Arabidopsis thaliana: one gene and its partners. The protein of the gene in region 2 purifies or fractionates together with the protein of the main gene of each other region. This does not show direct contact. Each region holds a gene or a part of one and is shown on either strand. Other genes may lie near its edges.

Evidence for each region. The genes of interacting proteins can lie anywhere in the genome.
Region 1: the proteins of LHCB4.2 (region 2) and PGRL1B fractionate together in Arabidopsis thaliana (co-fractionation; one large-scale study listed by BioGRID). This does not show direct contact.
Region 3: the proteins of LHCB4.2 (region 2) and PSAG fractionate together in Arabidopsis thaliana (co-fractionation; one large-scale study listed by BioGRID). This does not show direct contact.

What each region holds. Positions count from the first base shown.
Region 1 is NC_003075.7:7,172,486-7,182,165, forward strand, and holds PGRL1B (PGR5-like B), read right to left. Parts: upstream 5,404-9,680; 5' UTR 5,225-5,403; coding exon 5,059-5,224; intron 4,689-5,058; coding exon of another isoform or gene 4,643-4,688; intron 4,561-4,642; coding exon 4,448-4,560; intron 4,361-4,447; coding exon 4,264-4,360; intron 4,176-4,263; coding exon 4,075-4,175; intron 3,971-4,074; coding exon 3,914-3,970; intron 3,788-3,913; coding exon 3,711-3,787; intron 3,610-3,710; coding exon 3,558-3,609; intron 3,452-3,557; coding exon 3,341-3,451; intron 3,108-3,340; coding exon 3,010-3,107; intron 2,925-3,009; coding exon 2,855-2,924; 3' UTR 2,841-2,854; intron 2,753-2,840; 3' UTR 2,401-2,752; downstream 1-2,400. Other genes in the region: AT4G11950 (transmembrane protein, putative (DUF1191)), read right to left, coding at 791-1,774; AT4G11970 (YTH family protein), read left to right, coding at 8,738-8,828, 8,921-9,156, 9,249-9,500, 9,642-9,680. UniProt on the Arabidopsis thaliana protein: Ferredoxin-plastoquinone reductase involved in cyclic electron flow (CEF) around photosystem I. The homodimer is probably not involved in CEF.
Region 2 is NC_003074.8:2,712,718-2,720,794, reverse strand, and holds LHCB4.2 (light harvesting complex photosystem II), read right to left. Parts: upstream 3,239-8,077; 5' UTR 3,079-3,238; coding exon 2,578-3,078; coding exon of another isoform or gene 2,493-2,577; coding exon 2,130-2,492; 3' UTR 1,872-2,129; downstream 1-1,871. Other genes in the region: AT3G08930 (LMBR1-like membrane protein), read right to left, coding at 3,737-3,784, 3,870-3,936, 4,013-4,123, 4,430-4,495, 4,593-4,707, 4,798-4,907, 5,065-5,129, 5,209-5,271 and 6 more; AT3G08920 (Rhodanese/Cell cycle control phosphatase superfamily protein), read right to left, coding at 7,678-7,882. UniProt on the Arabidopsis thaliana protein: The light-harvesting complex (LHC) functions as a light receptor, it captures and delivers excitation energy to photosystems with which it is closely associated.
Region 3 is NC_003070.9:20,800,270-20,807,308, forward strand, and holds PSAG (photosystem I subunit G), read right to left. Parts: upstream 3,181-7,039; 5' UTR 3,113-3,180; coding exon of another isoform or gene 3,088-3,112; coding exon 2,605-3,087; 3' UTR 2,401-2,604; downstream 1-2,400. Other genes in the region: AT1G55660 (FBD, F-box and Leucine Rich Repeat domains containing protein), read left to right, coding at 425-1,474, 1,562-1,702, 1,784-2,071; AT1G55673 (uncharacterized protein), read left to right, coding at 2,702-3,112; AT1G55675 (uncharacterized protein), read right to left, coding at 3,585-3,911; AT1G55680 (Transducin/WD40 repeat-like superfamily protein), read right to left, coding at 4,719-5,132, 5,206-5,292, 5,481-5,586, 5,668-5,759, 5,866-5,976, 6,064-6,198, 6,395-6,481, 6,585-6,752 and 1 more. UniProt on the Arabidopsis thaliana protein: Not yet known.

The DNA of each region.
Region 1 (9,680 bases), on a different chromosome or scaffold from region 2:
TTTTCCTATTTACATCGTCATAAAAGATGACCGAACAGTAACGGAACAATTAATTTATGTTTGTTTAGTATAATTTTTTAATTTAATTTAATTTTTAATTAATAATTTATTTATTATAATTAATAAAAATCTAAAACAAAAAAAAAACTTTTTTTTCATCTACTCACCGTCTGACTATGAAAGTTCTAGATTAACCTTTAAAATTAGAGACTGGAGCACAAGAGAAATTAAAGTATAAAAATAGAAACAAACAAATGTAGAATCTGAGGTACAAGAAAATCTTAAAATAGAAGAATAAAAACAAAAGAATATCAAAGCTTAGCCAAAAAATAAAGCATTCACTCTATTAGAGGAATCTATTGGGTGAGACTGATCCAAAAACAATTCACCTCTACCAAATGGATAAATTAGGATCTTGTAGTACCAATTGCAATAAAAGGATGGTGAACAAAAACAATGAATTGAATAAAACATCTAGATATTTTTTTGGTCAGACGGTGAGTAGTCGAAGACGATGAAGTTTTTTTAACTAATCATAAATCTGTATTATATAATAAAATTAATTAAAATTTTAAATTAAAGCGGCTTACAATATTTTCAATAACTCATTTGGAAAACAGTTAACTCCACATATTATGTCACCTAAATAATGAAGATCTTAGAAGTTACAATCCAACACAAAAAAAAAAAAAAAAAAAAAAAAGAAAAAAAAACAGAGTTGAATTAACACTAAAAATTGAAAACATCTTATCAAGAAGGAAGATACCTAATTTAAGTATGTTGTTACTTGTTACTTATACCTAGTATTTTCAAATCTTGGAATCGTTCTTGATCTCGAAGCATTAGGATTAGCTCTAACATGACCCACCATTGAAACCTGAAGTGCTTCTTCTTCATAAGCTCTCCTCTCCATCTCCTCTCTCATCGCTTTCTTCTTCCCTTTCACTACCATCGCCACCACCAATAACCCTAACAGAAACGCTCCAATTATTGAACCTATCACACTCCCAACCGCCACTTTCCACCGGCTCAATTTCCCTCCGCCACCGTCAGTCAAAGCCGGAGATGACGACGGTGTTACCACCGTACTACCGCCACCGCCACTATCATGAGCTCTAATCACAAGCGCGTAATGCCCTTGTCTTGTTCCCAAGCAAACATAAGCTGAAACTTGCTCTCTAAACGTTATGTTACCGTTACTTGTGAAGCAAGCACACAAGACAGATGAGTTCTTCTTCGTGTTAGGTTTAGGGCTACCACTTGCCTCACTGCTTAAGAATTTGATCAAAATAGGGTTTTGTTCCGTGCCCATTACGTTAACCTCATAAGGATTCACAGCAACACCGTCCGGATTTGAATTGTAAGCCAATAAACCAAGAACAGGAGACACAAGCCGGTATTTGTAACCGGTTAAGTTATAACCGGTTGAGTAAATATAAGAAGACCAGTTAAACCCCAAGTTCTGTCTCACCAGGATCACTCTCTCAACACATGGCTCCACGGTCAAGCCCGGACCTAAGTGAAACTCTCCAATTCTTGCACCGTGTCTTCTCAAACTCCCACATCTAAACTTAGCTGTGGCGATATCAATGGAGGAGAAATTCGAAGGAAGATGGACTTTCTGGATAGCACCTGTCTTGAAATGTATGTTGAAGTTTCTAATGGTGTAATCTCTGATCATAAGATCAAGAAAATGTGCTGATTCAATGGTCTGAGATTTGGATTTATGTACATGAAAAAGAAGGATGATGAAGATAAATGGTATAGAGCCCATGTGAAGAGGACCCAATGATTCTAAGATGAATGAAGAAGTAGTTAGGTTTTGCAGAGAGAAGTGATCAAGAAGAAAGAGAGAGAGAAGTATATTGATTGTGTTTTACTTTGTTGGCATGTGTTTTGGGGACAGACATGATCAGTATATAGTATATACTATGTATCTTTTATTAATCCTTAAGACATAATAATGAATAAGCATGACCGATGTTTTATAATGCTTAGAATACTATCCTACTTTCTTCTAGCCTCGTGACATTTTACTTTATACACACTTTGTAGTCTTGTAAATTGCTTATATTCTTTCGATCCTAAAATGATACATTTAGAAATGTCTAAACGGTGAGAAAAAAAAGGAAGGTAAATGATGATATAGAGGGCATGGGACGACGACGATGTCATCATCATCATTGCACCTTTTTCTTATTAAAAAGATAGAATTTGGCATGCTATAATATTTGTATGACTTTTTCCTTTGTAATAATCCTTAACTCTTATTACATGTTCCCCACTTTTATCTATCTATCAGCTTCTTAATAGAAATCATACTAAAATGAACTATAGAATCACAAAAGTCAAAAAGTCTTGGACTGGCCTTGACTAGCACCTATAAATGATTTAGAACATCATATTTGATTTTCACATGGATTAACGAAACTATATTATGGAACACATTCAAAATTATAACAACAAAAAAAATACAAGTATTATTTCAAAACTACACAAGGTTGTGCTTATTTCTTGAATTATTTTACTTTCCTAATGAGAGCAAAGTTTCTCAAAGAAGTAATCATATGATGTTTTTCTTTGAATGTGCCTCACACTTACTTACAAACACAACACAAGCCAATGAGAGCTACATGAAAAGATCTGAAGATTATACAAAACAGCATACAAACTTTGGTTTTTCTCCTTCTTCTTCAATTTCTCCACCTTCTTCATTTGTTAGTATTAATTTTACATACACTTCTACATAACCCTGAGAAAAAGAAAACCCTAAAATTTTGAATTTTCCATTGAATCAAGAAAGATTTCATCAGAAATCAAAGTTGAGATAAGAATTAAACCTTGGCTCTTAGATTTAAGCTTTCCCTCCTTCTGGTAATGTGATCAAACGAGAACCTGAGTCATAGACCATCTCCGTTCCACAGCTAAAAACCAGAAGAATCATAAGACTTCAAGAAACGTTGTAGACAATTTGTGTGATCGATTCGAGTCTACAGCTGAGAAGCTTACCCTGAGCATTTGACATTGTTGGTGTTACTATCATTGGGGATGGATAGTATCGTTCCAAAGAAAGATACATTCTCTGTTCCACAGTTTGGGCAAGGGCCCTGTGAAAGATATGTTCCACGAAAATTAAAAGCATTTCATAATAATCGCATAAAACTCGTAGGATTTGGCACTATACCAATCCAAATTTGTAGCGTTTAGCACAAAATAGATTATTATCTCAAGTCTAATCTCTTGTTTAAGCATTTTTGATACTGAGAAAACAAGATTTAGTTCTATAACTTTTATTTTTCCACTTCATGAACTGATCTTGGAAGATGATTAATGTTTTTACCTTCAAGATCAAGAAGTCTTTGAGGATCAGTTTGGTGAGTGATAACGCCAGATATACAATTGCAGGCACCGCAGCGAACCATGTGAAAATGAAACTGAATGGTTCCGGAAGCTGCAGATTTTTGTTTTTGTTTTTTAATCAGTTGCATGAATACTGGAACAATTACTACGAGTATATATTCTCCAAACCATAGTAGAATAGTCGAAAGAGGTTTTACCTCGAGCAGGTACGTGATTTCAAAACCAGTAATGTCATCAAGAAAGAAAAATCTGGAGAACAATTGAAGAAAACAACAATTTTAAACTAACTAACATAAGCTAAGATCATGTGATTTGAAAGTTGAGAGAGGAACAGAACCGGAGGTACTCACAGTCCGAGAGCAACAACAGTTGCTGGTACATTCAACAAGAACATTTTGAAGTAATCAATGGCAAGATCACTATAAACCTGCATAATCAAGGAGGTCCACAAGTCTATAACATCTCTAGAGTTTGTCCCAAACAATGAATCTAATGTTATGTTCTGTAATGTCCAAAGAATATATGAGCTATCCGAACAATTAAGAGTTTTTACCTTTTTACTACGAAGACTGCATCTTGGACCCTCACACACAATCTCACTGCCGTCCATCTACAGAAACCAAAGAAACAATCATAACGTTTGTCCAAATTACACATGTAACAAGATGGATGAAACTAAGAAATAGTATTTGTAAGTATAAATAGATTAAGAACCTTTAGTTTCATTTTGAGCTTATCATACTCTTCATCACTCAAGATTGGATTTCCAGAGACATAAGCCATTGAAGCTTCAAGGAATCTTTGTTCATCAGAACCTACAATACATAGATAAAATTAGATCAAGAATCAAGAACCTAGGCGAATGGATTATTGACAAAACTATAAATCATAAGTGTTCATTACTTAGCATGACAACACTGCTTCCTTCCCACATCAACTCTTCTTTAAGGTTATCAAACTCTTCATTAGACATAATCGCTTTGCCTTCGTAATAAAACGACTGCAAAAGAAAAGAAACAGAAACAATCCTCGATTATATAGAGATAAACCCATACTAATGATAAAAACACTTTATTTGATGTGTTACTTGCATCGCTTGGAGGAACTCTTGTTCCATTTCACCGATAGTTCTCTTCTCATTCTTGTTGATGCTACAATAAGGTAAAATCTTGCTATCAACTTCTTCCCCACCCACCTGACCTGAAGACAAGTCATAAAAATGATTTTAAGAAGTAAGGAAACTCTCAAGGAGCAATCTTTTAGTGGATTAGAGTATAAAAACTAAAAATCCACAGAGGAAAAAAGTTCCATATAACAACTTTTCTTAACTAGAATTAAAGCTTGAGTGATTTTATTCTATGATTGAATAAAATCAAAACTTTCTCAAAAGCCACTGTGTTCCCAAACAATGATCAGAGACAAAATCAAAGCTACAATACAACAGCTTTTCTCAACTAAATTTGAAGATTGAGTGCTTTTTTGTTTCGATCACATAACGATGAGTTAATAACTTAAGAACCTTAAGCTACACACAAATTTTAATCCTAAAAAGGCTACAAATTGGAAATCATTTATCTAATTATCTTCTATGATCATAAAAATCTCAACTTTTCACACCAATTTCGTTCCCAAAGAAAGATCAGAGGCAAAAACAAATAAAAAAATCGAAACTTTAAAGAGGCAAATAAAAATCGAGACCTGATTGATCAGTAGAAGCTTTAAGGGGCAATAAGGTAAGTCTTCGTCTGAGAGAAATCGATCGTCCATGGGTAAAGGGAGCAGGACACTGTGTCCTCGAAGAAGAACAAGTGATGGGTTTGCGAGAAATTGCAGAAAATCTAGGGATTGTTAGAGTAAAAGCCATCGTCTTTATCCCTCACGCCGATGATTGAGTGAGATCGTTGTTTTCTCTTGTCCGGGACGAAGAACAAAAAAAAAAGTTAGAAGCTTTGGATTTGTGTGGTTGAGAATTGAGATGGTGATGTTTTTTACTGTGTGAGATAGTTTCAGGTTCCTTCTGATTTTTTTGTTTTGTTTTGTTTCAACGTGTAATTGGAGGGAAAATTAGGAGGAGATAAGCGAAGTTGGATCGTCTAGCGTTCCACGTCATGATTTTGAAAAAAATAAGAATAAAATCTTGAATTTTGGTAAATTACCAAAAACAAATATTGTATTATAATATTTAGATATTATTAGTCACAAATAAAATGAATTCTTTATATAATTTTTTTTACGTAGAATTGAAATAAACGAAAAAAAAAAACTCTAACTCAAATCATAACAAAAATATGTACAATCATTTTTAGTTTATTATTTTATCATCTCAACGGACAACGGTAAAGAAAAATAAGGGTTTTGATTTGTGGGAGTCAAGATAGTAAACTCATTATAATAGATAAATTGTACATATGCATCATCATGTGGTGAATCACCTATTGGTATAAATAATTAAGAAACCATAAACATATTTCATGATATTGCACGAAAGCAAAACCAACAAACACATTGTACTCTTTTGAAAACATATTTTGTATGTAAGACTTAATTTATTTATAAGTTCTCTTAAGGAACTAATTGCGATAAAAAAATTTGAATTTTAATAATTTATAAGAGAATTTTGTTGTAATATATATATATATATATATATATATATATATATATGTTTGAAAAAATGAAAAAGAATCTTGAGTTTTAGTAATTTGCAAGAAAAAGTTGTAATATAATATTTATTAGTCAACAAAAAAATATTTATTTACAAACAATTATGAATCGGACTTGTGACTCAAACCATAGACAAAAACAATCATTGTGATGCTGGTTGTCCATAAGTTAAAACACAATGAATCTATCATGAAATAAATTGTCATTGGTGGTTTGTAAACCACTAACAAATCGATAGAAAATGTTTATAACATTGTCGGATATGCTCTCATTAGATATTATAAATGAAAATTGTGGATAGTTGTACTTCACAAAGCCACTACATCCGGGGTCATTTCATCATTTACTCAAGAAGATGTTTTTATCTTCGGAAACCAGACACTTCGAAGATAAAGACTTGAGAGAGGCGTATTATGATGTATGGTTCGCTGGTTTAATGTTGGTTTAATATTTGGTTAACTTTGATTAAGTGAGCTTAAGTTCAAATATATATAAGCTTAATGATACACAGTTCTAACTAACGCTTGTAACAATATTTTGTTGAGATAAATAAAGTTTGTTAGCTTTTTTGTTCAATCTTCTCTCTACTTTTCGATACACGGGTGTCCCATGTAAATAACCAAATAAATTTTTAAGTTTATAATGCACAAATAATTCACAAAATTTATGTCATAGAATTACTTTGAATCGAAAAAAATATATATATGAAAGTTGGTTAACTCTCTCCATATGAATGTCACATTATCATACAAGAAAATTACATGTGTTTTTATATTATTCAATAAAAATTTTAGCAAAATTAAGTTAAGAAAATCAAAAGTCCTCCACATCATTAAATCTTCCATCAATACTATTAACTTATTTCTTCAAAAAAATTGAAAAATACAAAATCATGCTAATGTATAACTCAATTATAATTACAACTATTATATCAATATATCTTATATTGTTATTCTATGTATTTATGATAGCAAAAAAAAGATTAAGATCTTATGTATATAGATAATTATATTACACATGAAAAATATATACTTGATATTTTACGTCAAAAGATGAATCAAAGCATAAAAATTGTAACTATATAAGATGAATCTAAATATTTATGTAACTACACAAACTAGCAACAAAGAACATACAACATATTTTTAACAATTTTCAAAACAACAACTCATGCATAGCATGATTATTCATCTACTAACATTAATAGTTTGTCAGAATAGACTAACATTTTTTTTTTACTTTAAATGGACTAATCAACATAAATCTCCCCAAATCTTGGATGTACTCGATGAATTTGAGATTTTATTTGGTGAACTAACCAAATATAAAATGCTTTTATATCTTTTTTTATCTTTTAATTTGGTTAGAGTTTACTTTGAACTCTTTGCTTTTCTATTTTATTTTCAAAGTTTTTTTTCTCCTATCTTGGTTAATTATTATTTTTGTTTCTATAATATAATAAAACCAAATGAATTGTGGACTGAGTATTATACAACCCCTTCAATATGTACTATTTTGATTGGATAGCTTAAATTTTCAAAGATTTTAAGTTTTTAGGCACCCAAAGTATATATTTTGTTTAGTACAAATTTAACTTCTCAACTAGTTTTTAAATAAAGTCATATTAGGTATTTGGTAATTGATCGTATGTGAGTGGGCCTAATAATGAAGTAGGCCTCGACGTCAAAAGAAATTTGAAGGTAGCCCATTTATCTTTACTTAACAATACACCACCAGCGGTTCACTTAACCCTTTAACAGCCAAATCCTGTACCGTTAGATTATATCACTAATCGCATCTTGTCCGTTCAATTTTCATCTTTCCTCACCTACACGTAACCCTACCATTGTCAGAGCCCAAGTCCAGAGAGAGAGAGAGACGAAGAAGAAGAAGAAGAAACAAAATAAGAATACAAAACACAGAGAAGAAGCGAACAGAGAAAGATTAGGGCTTTCTTGGATTTTTAAATAGAATTTTCTTCTTCACTTGTGTTCTTTCTCATTCGTTATCCCAAAAGCTTTTGATAATCCAAGGTTCGTTTTTTTCTTCTACTGGTAACTGTACTGTTCTATGTTGTTCATATTCTCACACTGTAATTTGTTGGCTGTTCAATGGGTTCTGTTTGGTTATGGGGCACAGTCAATAGAGGAAGAAATGGGTTTCAGAATTTAATTTGATACTAGTTCTTTTGAATTGTTATGCTTTATGACATTCTGTTTGGTTATGGGGAAGAAGAAATAGAGAAAGAGTTAGGTTTTCTACTGAATTGTTTTGATTAGGTGAAGAAAATTACTTTATGTCATTTCGATTATAAATAGTATCTCTCTGGTTAGTGTTGAACTTTCGAAGTTAGTTTCATGGATACTAGTTTATCATTGTAGTAGACTAATGAGTAATGATCACTAACTACTTCTTGTTAGTATGCTAATTGATTTGGTAAAATGCTTACTAACTACACTAGTTTATCATTGGAGTGTAGATAATTTGAACATGTAAAGTGAGATTTTTTCTGGTTATGTTTATAGTTGCACTCTGATTTGAGTCAATACATGTTTTATTCTTGTTTTTTAAATGGCTTAGTGTGACTTCTGTTTGTGGTGGTGATTGATATTTTATTGCTTTTGATTGATATTCATTTTTCTCCTTTTGCTGTCAAGTTTTATCGTTTTAATTGAGTGTTGTTGTTCTTGTGTGTTAATATAGGTTTTAAAGAGGCATGTCTTCTGATACTGCTAAGGAAAATGCTTCTGTTGTCGATTCGTCTTTGACTGATTGGAAACAAGATTTAGGAAACTCTGATGATCCAGGTAAACTTTGAAGCATGTTTTGTTATTCACTTTTTTTTTTTACATGGAGATTTGCGTTTTATTTTGTCTGTCTCTTGTTGTAATTTTGTCAGAGAGTACAAGTTACAGAAGCAAGGAAGACCATAAACTGTCAAAGGTGGATGTTGATCGACGTAACTTTCCTGATCAACTTGAAAGTGCAAAGGCGAATAAGAATAGTAAACCAGGGTATCGAACGAGATATTTCATCATCAAAAGTCTGAATTATGATAATATTCAAGTTTCAGTTGAGAAAGGGATTTGGGCTACTCAAGTAATGAATGAGCCAATATTGGAAGGCGCTTTTCATGTAAGAATCTCTCCTTTTTAGTTTGCACCGCTCTATAATCTTATATCTACTGTCAGCCTCTCTGGTATACTGAGGTTATAGTCTTTGTGTAGAAATCTGGTCGAGTGATTTTAATCTTCAGCGTGAACATGAGCGGATTCTTCCAAGGGTATGCAGAGATGTTGTCTCCTGTGGGTTGGAGGCGAGACCAGATATGGAGTCAGGGAGGTGGTAAAAACAATCCCTGGGGACGTAGTTTTAAAGTAAAATGGTTGCGGTTGAGTGAATTGCCTTTTCAGAAAACACTTCATCTCAAGAATCCTTTGAATGATTACAAGCCTGTCAAGATTAGCCGAGATTGCCAGGTATTTGTTTCTTCTATTTGTTTCATTTCCTAGAATTTTTGCGTTTGTTGTCTTAAATCCATATAATGGCTTAGGCTAGGATAGCTTAAGGTTTATGAAAATGACTCGATTTGAAGTTCTTTTAATGTGTGCATGCTCTAGGAATTACCTGAAGATATCGGTGAAGCACTTTGTGAACTC
Region 2 (8,077 bases):
TTGAAAAAAACATAAGTTCGCCAGATTGGCGAAGCCGGGAGGCAGCCACTTATGCTTTTGGATCAATTTTGGAGGGCCCAACAATTGATAAGCTTGCCCCGATGGTAGCTGCTGGCTTGGAATTTCTCCTTAATGCAACCAAGGATCAGAATAACCATGTCAGGGATACAACTGCTTGGACTCTGAGCCGTATCTTTGAATTTTTGCACCCCAGACAGTGGCTTCTCTGTTATATCACCCGAAAACCTCCCTAGAATTGTGAGTGTATTACTGGAATCAATTAAAGATGTGCCAAATGTTGCAGAGAAGGTCTGTGGAGCAATATACAATCTTGCACAGGGATATGAAGACTCTGGAGCAAGTTCCTCTCTTCTCTCTCCTTATCTTACAGAGATCATCACACATCTCCTTGCAGCTGCTGAGCGTACAGATGGGGCAGAGTCTAAGCTAAGAGGTGCTGCGTATGAAACCTTGAACGAGGTTGTCCGGTGTTCAAACCTTTCAGAGGCCTCAAGCATCATAGCGCATCTCCTCCCTGCCATCATGAAAAAATTAGCTGAGACAATGGACCTCCCTATAATATCAACTGATGACCGTGAGAAGCAAGCGGAACTCCAGGCGTCTCTGTGCGGTGTTCTCCAAGTCATAATCCAGAAGCTGAGCAGCAGGGACGATATGAAACCTATCATAGTGCAAAACGCAGATGACATCATGAGGTTATTCCTAAGAGTGTTTGGTTGCCATAGTTCAAGTGTCCACGAAGAAGCCATGCTTGCAATCGGTGCTCTTGCCTATGCGACTGGAACTGAGTTTGTGAAATACATGCCCGAGCTTTTTAAATATCTCCAGATGGGGCTGCAGAATTTCGAAGAATACCAAGTCTGCTCAATCACCGTAGGAGTGATTGGTGACATATGCCGTGCGCTGGATGAAAAAATCCTACCCTTTTGCGATCAGATAATGGGTCTCCTTATCCAAAACCTTCAAAGTGGTGCACTCCACAGATCGGTGAAGCCTCCAATCTTCTCATGCTTTGGAGACATTGCTCTGGCGATTGGTGCTCATTTTGAAAGGTATGTAGCTCCAGCTGTTCAGATAATGCAAGGTGCTGCTCAGGTGTGTGCGCAGATGGACACCCTTGACGAGGAGCTTATGGATTATGCAAACCAACTCCGGAGAAGCATCTTTGAAGCATACTCCGGGATACTGCAAGGGTTCAAGGATGCAAAGGCTGAGCTCATGATGCCCTATGCTCAACATCTGTTGCAGTTTGTTGAACTAGTATCCAAAGATTCCCTGAGGTCCGTACCTTCTTTTTTCAATAATATAATCAATTTATATATCTTTTCTAGTTTCACTATTCAGTTTAAACTTATTACTCGGTTTTTGTTTTGGGAGCAGGGATGAGAGCGTGACAAAAGCCGCGGTTGCAGCAATGGGTGATCTTGCGGATGTTGTAGGGGAGAACACGAAGCAGTTGTTCCAAAACTTCACCTTCTGTGATGAGTTCCTCAATGAGTGTCTCGAATCAGAGGATGAAGATCTCAAGGTCACTGCACGCTGGACTCAAGGAATGATCGCAAGACTCGTGCTCTAATCATAAATTTAAAGGCTTTTCCATCATCACTACTCGTGCGTCTCTCTCTCTCTGTCGTCATTGTTTTGAGTAAAGGTTTCAAAGAATAGTTGCGGGTCTTCCTCTTTGCTCTGTCTAATGATGTTGGGATAGTGGTTAAGGGGGGTTTTGGGAAATTGTTTTGGGGCTATCTCTGTTTTGATGCTGCGTCTTATTTTTTACTCTGTAGAAGAAAAACAAAATCTTTTCTTTTTTTTTGGTGAATGGAATTATCCACTTATCGGTGGTCACTTTTTGAGTCAACTTTATGATTCTATGTTTCTTAACGTGAACAATTTCGACAGAATTTAGCAAACGATTAATTTGATGTAAAGGCTCATCATAACTCCGATGATCTACGTAAACACAAACTGCGAGGTATAAGAAATTCCGTTTATACAAAAGGTGCCAAATTTTCTTTAAAATAACGACGTTACATCATTACATGACACCAGTAGAAGCTAAAAGCCACCACATCATTACATGACACCAGTAGAAGCTAAAAGCCACCACATCAGGAGGAAGAGAAGGTATCGATAATGGTGGTGTGAAGTGGGTCACTAAGGTGAGTCGCCCAGTTGTTGAGCGGTCCTTTACCGGTTGCAGCCGCCTGAACCGCAAAACCCAAGAATCCAACCATGGCTAAACGAGCATGTTTGATCTCAGCTAGCTGAAGCTGAGCCTTCTTCACCGGGTCAGACGCTAGTCCTAACGGGTCAAAGAACTTGCCTCCTGGATACAAACGCTTCTCCGAGTCCAGTTCAGCGTTTCGTTGGAACTCAATGTAGCCGATCACTAACACTTCGATCCATATCAATGTCGAGATAGAGAACGGCAATGGCTGTCCTAAGTAAGATGATCCATCCACTAGCTCTACCTGGTAAATTAAAAATAAAACAATCAGACAGATGTCGAAACGCTAAACACAAACGCAAAAGTGACGAAAAGAAAAGAGGCGATACCTTGCCGGCGTCTTGCCAAGTAACACCGGTGAGCCATTCGACGGTGATAGCGCCAAGAGTGGCGAGCATTGCCCACCGACCGTGAATCAGCTCACATTCTCTGAATCTTTGTAGCCCGAAGACTTCACTATATGGCTGAAACGGCGTCGATTTGGGGTCCACCGCCTCGGTACGAGTCCCGATCACTTCTCCGTATAAGTTCTTGGCTAAGTTCTGGTCCAAGGAATCCAAATCGAATTGGAGATACTCCGCCGGTTTGCCTAAACCAAAAGGATCGAACCCGTAGTCCCCGACAAGTGAACCGTCGAGATATTCGGGTGATTTTGCGCCTGGGAACCATAGAGGCCGGTCTGAGATAACCGTCTTAGCCTTTTTGGGAGATGCTTTCTTGGTTCCGAATCCGAACCGGGCTGTGAACCGGCTTGAATTGGAGCTAATGTCGGAAACCACCCGGGTACCCATGATTGAAGAAGCAGCAGCGGCGGTTGAAGTGGCGGCCATCTCCGGCGTCGTTAGTTAGTTCTGTCGCGTTTGCGGTTTGTAACTTATCTGAAGCAAATGGCGTTTTTAAGTGGCGGTATGTGTGTGGGAGAGATCTCAGAGAACGAATCTTGACGGTTAGATGGAGAAACAAATCCATCTGACGGTAGGAAACAAAATCAGCCTTATCTATAAAAAGCTCGCGTTATCTATCCTGTCTGTCTTTTAGAGTTAGATGAGGCAAGCAAGCTGATTGGGCAAAAGAAGCTATTGACGAATCGCATAGCAACGCCACTTGTCACTTCAGCAGCACATGTCCACTTGTATAGTTGTATGCCTTGCATACTAAACAAATTCAAGAATATTGATAATCCGGTTAGGTTCGGTTACAATTGTCTCAAACCACAAAGGAAGTCTCTGTCTTGTAAAAATTCGAAGAAGGCTTCTCATTAAGAAAATATGATTACATGATCGCATCCGAGACAGTACAATAGACCAAGACAGGACAGCTAACTGTTGCGCAACCAAACAGCACACTCACAAGAAATTTAATAATACATTCAGGAAAATAAACCTCAGAAGCAGAGTCTCTAGATACTTCTGGAATCGATGATGATCCAGAAACAAGTAGAAACTTTGTCGACAGCACTCAATCAGATCCCCGTGAAAACGTTTTACATTAAGAAGAGAGCTGGAAACGGCCACTAGTTTTTTTTCTTCTCCATCCCTGCCAAAACACCAAAGACCATATGATTCTACAAATACTTAATACAGAAGAGAAAACCCGAGGAGTAACATCAACGAGGACTTACAAAGGCAATGTAATATAGGAAAGTCAGTCCAGCCAGGATAACAAACCCGATTTGGAACACATTGTACCTGAAATATAAAACCTCAATAAGACGCATCACGGATATAGCATATGACTGCTATATGTTATACCACTTCTACTTACTTGTAAAGGTACTTAATTCCTCTAAGGGACTGCAATGTGTGGCCAAATATCTCCTGGGCAGCAGTGGCTTGAGCGTAATATCCAAATGCAGTGGCACAAAATTGAATCACGCTGCATTTTAAATGAACCACATTACTCAGACTGTGAGGATTAACATGTAATTGTGAGGGTAGCAGCTGTATATTAAAAGTCTTGGTTTGACATCTAATAGAGTACAAAGGATACCCAAGTGCATGAGTAAAGTAACTATAAACTTCGATTCAGGCATTCGCCGGAAAGGAAATTAGTTTTAGTGATGGCATGAAAACACTGATAAGTTAATGTATGCACATAAACATGCTTGATCTAGATCCGTTTATCAGAGTGCACTTGATCCCAACAGATACAAAGGCAGAAGAAGAGACCAGAGAGACTTACCTGATTGAACAAAGAAGAATGAGGCCGACATTGAAGAGGAAAGAGTTCATTAGAGTAGCTCCCCATCTGAAATAAGTTGATATGGCCAATCAGCAATCAAGAGAAGGTAATGAATGACCTTGGAAAATAGCCAAATAATGTTGAAACCGGTTAGATGGATTACTTCATTGGATGAATGGTAATGAAGACCAGCTTCAAACCCAGCATCATTGCCCCAGCGATAACAGCAAGTAGAAGGTAGAAACAGAAGAAAGCAAAGGCAGCAGTGCCTAAAAGACCTGGAGATTTCCACACGTACCAGCATGGAGTCAGTTAGAAACAAAGAAGAAACCTTATACAGGATAACAAGGACAAAAGTATGAACTTACCCCAAACATCATCAAGCTTAATGAAAACCTCGTTAAGAAAAGGGGAGAGAGGAGGGTCGACGAGTAGATATATGATGATGTGTGCAACCCAAGCAATGGAAACGATCAATCTACAAAGACATTAAAAATTTGCCATTTAAAAAGACGCTTAGCTCGGGAGCTTAAGAGTGCAAACCTAAATATGCAAGAACTGTATGCATTATGCATGATTTATACAACATGTAACAAAAAAAAATGCAAAGGAGGTTTCTGCTTAGATGTACTAACCCTACGATTCCAAGAATAAACTTGGCCAAGTATCCGAGCACAGTGAAAGCCCATGCAGTTTCTGCCTGGAAAAAGGTACCAGGGAATAAAATAGTTGAACAAGAAAAATATTATAGTATAAGTTCTAAGATACACTCGTCTTACCTGCTCTCCTTGAGGATACATCTCTTCTAAGAGGTTCACATCTTCCTCCAATTGGAGCAACTCCTGCAGGGTTACCACATTCAATTATAGGATTGAGGGGACACAGCTTAAATCCACAACCAAGCAAAGAAAAGCTACCAATAAAGTCAATAACCAATTCTACTATCTCACTAGCTTTTCACTACAAGTTGTCATTCTCATAACTCCACAGACGACCAAAGCCTCTTTACACACAAGGGACCAGTATGAATAGGCAAACTTTCCAAGTTGCTACTTATGAAACAAAATTTAGATAAGATACTGAACCTTGAGATATATGAGGTACCTTTTCAACTGCTTTCACATTTTTCCGCCATTTCCTGCCCTTAGCACCACTTCTTTCTTCCTGATGAAGTCCATCAGCTGCTTTCTTTAGTTCTCTTGCCTTTTTACCTAGTTCGGTTGCCTCCTGTAATATATTTATGGAGTTAATCATGCAAGAGACAGAGGGATTGACTCAAGATCTAGAGAGATGCTTCCAGAGGAGAACAATAACCAGACCTTTATATATTGTGATCGAGTGATAACAGCCTTTGGTCGCCTGATGAATGCAGTGATAAGTCCTAATGGTAGACATGCAATACCAACACCACCAAATATCTAGAAATATTTGAGAGAACAATTAGTTATCAGATTTTTTTTACTGAAATGTATAAATCAAACATCTATTTACTTCAATGGATACAGAATTATATCTTGCCATGCATCTCATCTGTTGAGAGTTTGTGTTAGTCAATGAAGAATCAACAATATAAGACAGATTAAATCCTTTCAAAGCAAACAATGCACTTCTCAACATGAAAGAACAATGGTCATACCGTGAAAAGAACTGACCCAACAATTGTCGCAAGAGCAACAACATATTCTGGAAAAGTAGTACGCATAGTCCATGTTTTCTCAGATGTGGGATTAGCTGTAAATGCTGAGCACTGCATTGATAGCCAGAGACAGGAATATGTTAAATGCTGAAACTCTCTACGGCATAAATGACTCATGATATAAAAACTAATGCTAATGCTACATTCAAGAGGCAAACATACCTGGCGAGCAGTGTTACCTATGCATGGTTGAGTATTTGAAAACTGCCAGGAAGTAGGGAAAGTGGATGTGGCAGAAGCCAAATGCCTGACCGAGAAGTCCACCTTTCCAATGACACCTACATGATGAAGATGTTACCAATAATGTTAAGGTATTCCTAGCATATAAATGGATAAGATAGATATCTCAACCCAAGCCCTGATTGGGTAATTTAAAAGCCAAAATTAACATAAGAATGCAGTCAAATCATAGAGACCAACATCAGATTCATCCTTGCCACATGCTCACTAATGGATTCAATAACCACTCCAGCTAAACAAGTATAACCTCCAGACTATCGTCATTCGTCAATACAGAAAGACGCTGAATTTCAAGTCGACAAAAGAATTGAAAACAGAGGAACAACTAACCATATAAAATTCCAAGCACCAGAGCACAAACAACAGCCGTGGTAACTACCCAAATTAAGGCACTTTTTATCCTCTTTCCAAGAGTCCTGTGAAAAAACGAAAGAAAAAAAGCCCACAAATTGTCATCAGTATTCGATTAACTCAAAACTTACAACATAGAGATACTAAAATTTCATCAAGCTACGAACTTGTCCTGGTCGCCTTCATAGAAAAACATTGCGAAGGGGATGACAAAGAACACGAGAATAGCGTCCACGATATAAATAGCAAGCCAAAGATCCTTCATGGGCAAGGTGAGATTGCAAGCTCCATTGTATATAGCATGTCGACAAGCATGCCGATTGGCCACATCAGCCGGTAACATGAGAATCGAGATCATAGCAATAGAAAGGCCAAAAACAACGACGAATTTGGGGAAATAAGCCTGGTTTGCATCATCTGGATGCTGATAGTTGACGAGAAGATAGATGCTAGAGATGAATACGATGACGCAAACAACGATCGCGACAATCACGAGAGCGAGGTTGAAATCGCCCATCGTGTGCAATGTACAACGTCCCCAATTCGAGAGATTTCGATCCCGGAACGATTTGGAAGATGTAGCACCCAATTGCAAAGGCTAGGGTTTTCTAGGAGTTCAAATTTTGAAAATTGAATTTGGGGATTTTAGTAGATCTGGATTTCTTTCTTTTTTTCCCTCTCGAAAACCAGACGAGGGAAGAAGAAAGAGGACTGGGAGAGGATGAACATTCTTGTAAATTACGAAGCTACCCTCAACAATGTGCTCTCGTGCCTAATGGCTTTGGGTGTAAACGTAAATTGTTACTAGGTTTGGAGATTAGCTGTCCGAAGCAAATGATTCGGACAAAATATTTCAACTAATGAAAGACATCTGTAAGTAATAAACCAGTGACCAATTGTGTAAACCGGACACAATTTTAAAAACAAAAAATGTCTTCACACTTGGCTCCAAAAAACCAATTTAACGACTCTTCTGGCCAAAAGACGGTAACAGTACAAGTAGTTTGAGTAAATAAAATGATACACCTCCTATCGTGGCGAACCGAAGCTCTTCGGTCCCTTCGATCTCTGGAAAATCTCCCTCGGATACTCGGTTAAACCCTCCGGTTAACCACCCTAAGCTTTTGTACCCTTCTCCGTGGAGCTTTGATACAGCCGCCAACGACCTGAGAATGAGATTGAAAAGCAACACCATTTATAACAACCAAACCGAACCAAAGAGTTCAGTTTAATTTATACTATCCAAACCAAAAGATTCTATGATCAAATCGATTGATTAATAGTTTATTTAGTTTGATAAGTTTCTCTAAAATCTGGACTAAAACTGGCAATGATTAACCAAAATGCAACATATAAAGCTG
Region 3 (7,039 bases), on a different chromosome or scaffold from region 2:
ATGATGAAATGAATCTCAAAAATTTATTGTTTTCATGTTTTTAAAACTTTTTTTGACATGGGACCATGTTAGCTTCATGAAAATGTCTTTTAGGTTAAGATATTTACATTCTTACATGTTCGTATTCGGACGCCTTTTACATTGCAAAAGTGTTACTTATTTCGAACTTATTGAATATATGGAACTTGAACACTTGTAGGTGTATGCTTATTCAAGATTTACATGAATGGATGGTACGAATGTAACGTGCACAGTAAATGTTAGATCTAATGTTTTAGTGAGTATTTTCCAACGAAATGTGTGGAATTCATGTTTATTACAAACAATTTCTTTTAAAACATTTCCTTCATTATTGATTATTCATTAAGAAAATTAATTAAGAGAACAAACCTGTTCGTTTGCCCTAGACAAGGCAATACATCTTATGTTCCTTTGTGTTATTATTCCTTGTCTATGTTCTTACTTATGTTCACTCTTTTCTTGGTTACTCGGACAGATTCCAAGTTTCTTATTCGACAAGATAAATGAATCTTGGTTAACATCAACGAAAAGAAACGTGGAGATTGTGAAGAATTTAATGGACAAGATCAGTCAGTTGCCTGATGAATTGCTCGTGAAGGTACTATCATTTCTTTCAACAAAAGATGCTGTAAGCACGAGTATCTTATCGATGCGATGGAAGTCTCTTTGGATGTGGCTGCCTAAACTGGAGTACAATTTTAGGCATTATTCAGTGTCTGAAGGCCAGGGGTTGGCTAGATTTATTACTTCGAGTCTGCGAGTACATAAAGCTCCGGCTATTGAAAGCTTGAGTCTCAAGTTTAGGTATGGAGCAATTGGATCAATTAAACCTAAAGATATTTATCTCTGGGTTTCACTTGCAGTTCATGTTAGCAACGTCCGTGAGTTAAGTCTAAAGCTTTTTAATTTTGCGGAGCTTCCAACTAAATTGCCCAAAAGCTTATGTAAATGCAAATCGATTGTGATCTTGAAACTGAAAGACGAGATTCTCGTTGATGTTCCTCGTAAGGTATGTCTCCCCTCCCTGAAAACATTGTTCCTTGGACGTGTGACTTACTCGGATGCAAATTCTCTTCACCGACTTCTTTCCAACTGCCCTGTTCTTGAGGATCTAGTTATGGAACGAGATAAAATTGACAATTTGGGGAAATTGAGTGTGATTGTCAAGTCCTTGCAGAGACTAACCCTAAAGATGTCTCGTCCTTGTCATCTTGATGGGCTTAAGATGAATTCTCCTTCTTTGAAGTATTTGAAAGTCATTGATGAAAGGCTAGAGAGTGATAGTGATGATGAGAGTGACAGTGATAGTCCTCGATACTTCTACGATTTTGAAGATATGCCTAAGTTGGAGGAGGCAGATTTTGTATTGACATTCCAAAATATCAAAAAGTTCTTTGGATCAATCACATCTGTTAAGCGTCTTTCGTTATGCTTGGGAGTCTACACCGAAGAGGTAATCTGTTTCCATCACTCTATCCATCTCATTGTTGAACAATAAACCAGGTTTTCTTGAAGTTGAATCTTTTGTCATCTTATGCAGTCTTTATATCATGAGGGTCTTGTCTTCAACCAGCTTGAACAATTGAAGATATGTTCATGTGATTCAGATTGGTCAATTTTACTTGCCCGATTACTCAAAAGCTCTCCCAATTTACGAGAGCTCGAGGCTTACGTGATAGAAGTAAGTTTGTTCCTTAGAGACCTATACTCTTGGTTCAATTAACTATAATGTTTAAGCCAAACTTCTCATGTTTGATCACAGGATCATCCAAATGGGCGTACGGATCTACCAAATCAGTGGGACAATCAGCTGAATTGTGTTCCTACATGTTTGTTGTCCAGTCTCGAAACGTTCCGTTGGAGTGAGATGCATGGATTGCTGCAGAACCAGATGGATGTAGCTAAATATATCTTGAAAAATGCTCGCTGCTTAAAGTCTGCGACAATCTTTTTTCCGACAACATATGCTCAAGAAACAAGAGATGAGATGATCGAGGAGTTGTCACTTTCTTTTCAAGGTCCAGAAACATGCCAAGTCTTCTTCCATTGAGGATGTGAATCATAAGGATTCAAACTTTCATTTCCATAGACACTACCCTCCTTTATTACAATGGTTTTTTATTTGCAGCCGTAACTTGATCTAAACTTAAGGTTTATGTCTTTGTTTTTGGTTTTCTTTTTGTATACTTTATCTTTGAGCATACTGTTTTTGTTGAGACATTGGCTTTATCTTTCTGAGATCTTACATCTAGACTCTCTCTTAGGTATGAAACTAGCTTCACCAAATCACCTAAGTTTTTCATACGAACATTAGCTCAAACTAAATCGAAATCTTGAGCGCAAGTAAAAATGTGATTTCATCTCTCTGTTTCCATAGTGTATATACTATTATGTTCTTCTTATAAAACTCTGCAAACCAATCTTTGTAAATGGAGAAATAAAACATTTGCAAAAAGAGGGACAAGTCTTAGACAACAACAACAACAACAGAAGAAGAAACAGAGATAGAGAACAGATTAGATAGCTTGCAACACAAGTCAAACATATACATATACATATACGAGAGATTGACATTGAAACGAATCATCCAAAGAAGCTTGGGTCGTATCCATTGCTGGAAGTAGCCAAGATGTAGTAAGCAACGATGTGTCCAATAGAACCCCAAGCAAGAACATCAACAATGTTGAATCCAATTGGATCGTTCGATTTCAAGAGACTGACGTACTCCTTAGCACGATCATCTCCAGCTTCGAAATGGGTTTTTCCGTTCTGCTCCGGTAAGCCCTGTTTTGCTACGTTCTCTCTCTGGAAGTTGAAGAAGACGAAACGGCCGAGGAAGAGGGAGAGACCTGTGCTGAGACTTATGACGATGGAAGGGCTTAGCTCAGCTCTCACGACAGCGGAGGAGGATTTTCTCCCGGTGGTTGATAGTTTGGGTAGGGCGGAGGAGGAGCCACCTAGACGGAGGGGACGAAGGCCATGGAATGAGATGGAGTTAGGGTTTTTGTGGGAGATTGCAGTGGAGAATGTGGTTGGTGAGAGCAAAGCTGATGCGCTTGTGGCCATTTTGCTTCTTCTTCTTCTTCTCTAAGAAAAATTTCAGTAATAGAAAAATGAGTGGTTTTGGATTTATGATCTGAAGGTTTGGTTTTGGATTCTGGCAAGCAGGAGAAGAAGCAGAAGAAGATTTTGTTTGTGAGGATACGATTACGGATGGATGATGTGGCATTCTCTCGTTGGTTCTTTCTGGATTATGAGATTTTCAAAGAAATATTTGCGTTCAAACCCTTGTAATTTAGTAGGATACACTTTGAAGAACCTACTATCTTTTTTTTAAAAGATTTAGTCCATAATCTACACTTTAATAGTCTTTTTTCTCATAAAGTGTTTGTATTTTATTTATAACTTGTGTTGTAAAAACTCAATATTACAGGTCTTGATACATATGAAACTAAAACCAACAAACTTATAACCATAGGCCCAACGAGAAAAGCCCAATCGAGAAACATAATCCTTTAAGGAAGTAAGCTAAATAATTCCCGACTGCAAAGCCACGTGGAATGCTAACAAATAAAGTTGAAGACGTGGATAGATGATTCTTCGTCACCGTTCATCGCCGATCTGTTCAGCAACAACCGGAAAACTCCAAAGCCACCGGAAACAGCTAGAACTTTAAACACAGAAGTCCATCGGTTTTTAATTAGAGAATCCCAACAAACATCATCATCAAATTTGCAAAGAAAGGATCTTCCAAAAGACAATTGATTCCCGAATTCCAAAAACACAGCGGCACAGATTTTACAAAAATTGATCAAAGCCAATAAGAGTCCATAATTCATTGAAAAGCTATGAATCAATTCCTGTAATTGCAAACTCAAAAGTAAAAGCATCGAATAATACACTTCATTAAGCGATAATTCGCTTCAATCGATATTATCAACACATCCCTAATAAAATTTATTGTAAGTAAATAAACAACTGGAAGAAAAACATAACAACGGCGGAGACAAACCCGAAATCCGGTCAAGACGATACTATGTAAGCTACTGCTTCCGGAGTGGTGCCGACCAAGACGACGCTAAGGAAGCCATCGCTGTCAGAAGAAAGCTAGCCAACTCCGCTAAAGTAGTCAGAGATGCCAGACACGAGCCCACTATGTGAGGAACATGAGCCTTCGAATCAAACCAGAAGGCAAAGGTTTGATCGGAAAGTTTAGCTTTCTCTAAAAGATATTAAAGAGAGAAGAGAGAGAGAAACTTACCATTGATACACTTTAATAGTCTAGGAAACAGAAATATTATGAAACATCATGATATATAATTTGATCCAACAATCGGCAGAAACATCTCAAATTGAGTTCCTCTACAAGTGACCATAGCCAAATAACGAGCCACAGACTCGAGTAAAGTTGTCTCTTTGCCAAGAGTTGAGACTTGATGCAAACTCACCCGAACCTCATATACTTATGTACAATACACGAACTCCAACACTCATACAAGAAATGAACATTAACTAACTAAATCCGCTCTCTGTGACAACATTCCTACTAGTACTTGCACAACACATCATTTACACCATTAGAGATCGACTTGAGTTTATGTTTTCTCTTTTCTCGGGTTTCTTAGTTTAACAGAGCGACAGGAGAGTGCAGCAGCACATATGTATCGGCTCTTTTATTCCTCTGGTATGTCGGGTGATCATAGAAATGAATCAAGGTAGGAGTAGTTGTGGCGCCGGCTATACTCAATTAGACTTCCGTAAGTGCGGTCCCAAACGCCTATGAAGAGTGCTTCTGTGTCGGGGCTAAATGATATTCCCGAGATCTCCCCAAAGAAGTCGATCTCTTGCTCCGTTTCATACCCGTTTGAGACATCATACACATGGACAAAGTCAGCCGGCTCAGCCATGGCCATGTACTTCCCATCAGATGTGTAGCGAATGGATCGGATTGCTCCAAGGTTACCCCTCAAGACAGCAACAGATTTTGACAGGTTACGAATGTCCCAAACCCGGCAGGTCTTGTCCTGGTTACCTGTGGAGAACGTGAATCCATCTGGGTGCCATGCTGATGCAAAGGAAAAGTCCAGATGTCCTGATAGCGTTGCCAGTGTCTGTAGAAAATTCCAAATTTAGTTAGAAAGCATATTTATTCAGGGATACGTAACACAGAGATCGTTTCTGTACCTTTCCAGTGTTGGGGTCTACCAGAAGGCTTTCAGGGTTGTCTCCCACAATCGTCAACAATTTACCATCAGGACTTAAAGATGTGTGCTATCAATACAAAAACCCCCTTTCGTTAAATAATTTGGGGTGCAATTACATTTACAATTTCGTAATGTAAAAGAAGATATCAGATTACAAAACGTATTTGTAACTGAAACTTACTGCTACAAGCACTACAGATCAACTTATACCAAAACAAAAACAAAAAAAAAATCAAGGAAAAAGTAGGGACTTACATTCACCGGCCATGGAAAGCGAAACTGGTTAACAAGCTGGTATCTCTCCATATCAAAATCTCTGACTCCACAATCATTATTCGACGCAGTAAAATGAAGTGCCCCACTGCAGACAGACAGACATCAAAAAATCAGTTAGAAGAGACAAGTTGGCAAATACAACCTCAAGCAAAAGACATGCAAATACCTGGGTTTGTTATAAATCTCAATAGCATTGGTTATAGCATTATCATCATAAGTAGTACGTGAACAAAAGCTCACACCAGGTCTATCAAGATGCTGAAAATAAAATCAATGTGGAAAAAGATGAAGTTCCTTGATTAGAATGCATGTAATTGTTGTGTGAAAAACTAAAAATCCATGATTGTAAAACTCTAGAGCTTACCTTGCATATAAGTTCTCCTTGAAATCCACCGGCAACTAAAAATTTATCTCTCACTGCGAGTGTACTCACTTGAGTCTTTGTAAATCCCTCCAACAAACTTCCAGGATGTTTCTGCACCCACACAAGAAAAAGACAACAACCATTAAACTGATGTAGGTATTTATAGAGGAATCTTATATCATTCAGGAAGAAACTAACCTCAGATGGGGAAACATGACCTTGAACATTGAGAACATCATGCTTTCCGGATGTCAAAGTAGAATAGTGGCTCACCAAATATTGTGACATAAGGTAGACATCGTGCTTAGAAGTTGCCCAAACCAAATTCCTCAACTACAATAAAAAGAAAACAACTTTAGTTAGATGTCCGCATAAAAATAGTCTATGAATCCATATCTTTTAAGCTTTAACTTAGGTAGACAGTTGTAGCAATTTGTGCACCCTCATTACCCAAACACATGACATACTGATGGAATTACCAAAAAAACATTGACTCAATAGAAAATAGATATGTTTAAATAATATGAACCTGGAAATGAAGAATACTTGATTTGATAGATCTTGTATTCCGCCAGAAATCATAAAAAAGAGCCCCTTTCTGTGTGGCCATGCAATCCTGAATTCATTAAGCAAATGATAAGTATCAGTTGAAACCCAATATTAGTGAAACATATAGAAGAAAAAGAAAACCTACGAGACATAGAGAATGGAAGACTTACTTTCCCTGAAGATTCCCCAGAGTTAGGGACATTTTCATAATTTTTATACTGTTCTAGTCTAGTTTGTCTGTATGTCTCTCTCGTAATACTAAGCCTGTCCCAAGGAATCCCCTGGATGTCTTTCCCTTTCCGGGCTTGGTCAGCTGAAGTGTCAGCTATTTTATTATTCTGAAACCAAAGAACCCACACAACAGAGTAAGAGACTGCAGAAATTATTAATTGACATTAAAGCTATACATTTGACACAGGAATTTTAAAAATAGCTTAGCAAATTTACATTAGACTTCACACAGGAATACTTACAGAGTAGTCAAACTCATCGACATCGGAATCAGAGGCAGCCATATCATCCCCACGAAAATCCTCATCTAAATCATCCTCATCCATTTCATCATCCACATCTTCCATGTACTCAGCATCATCCCCTTGATAATTAGACATTCTTAAGTTGATAA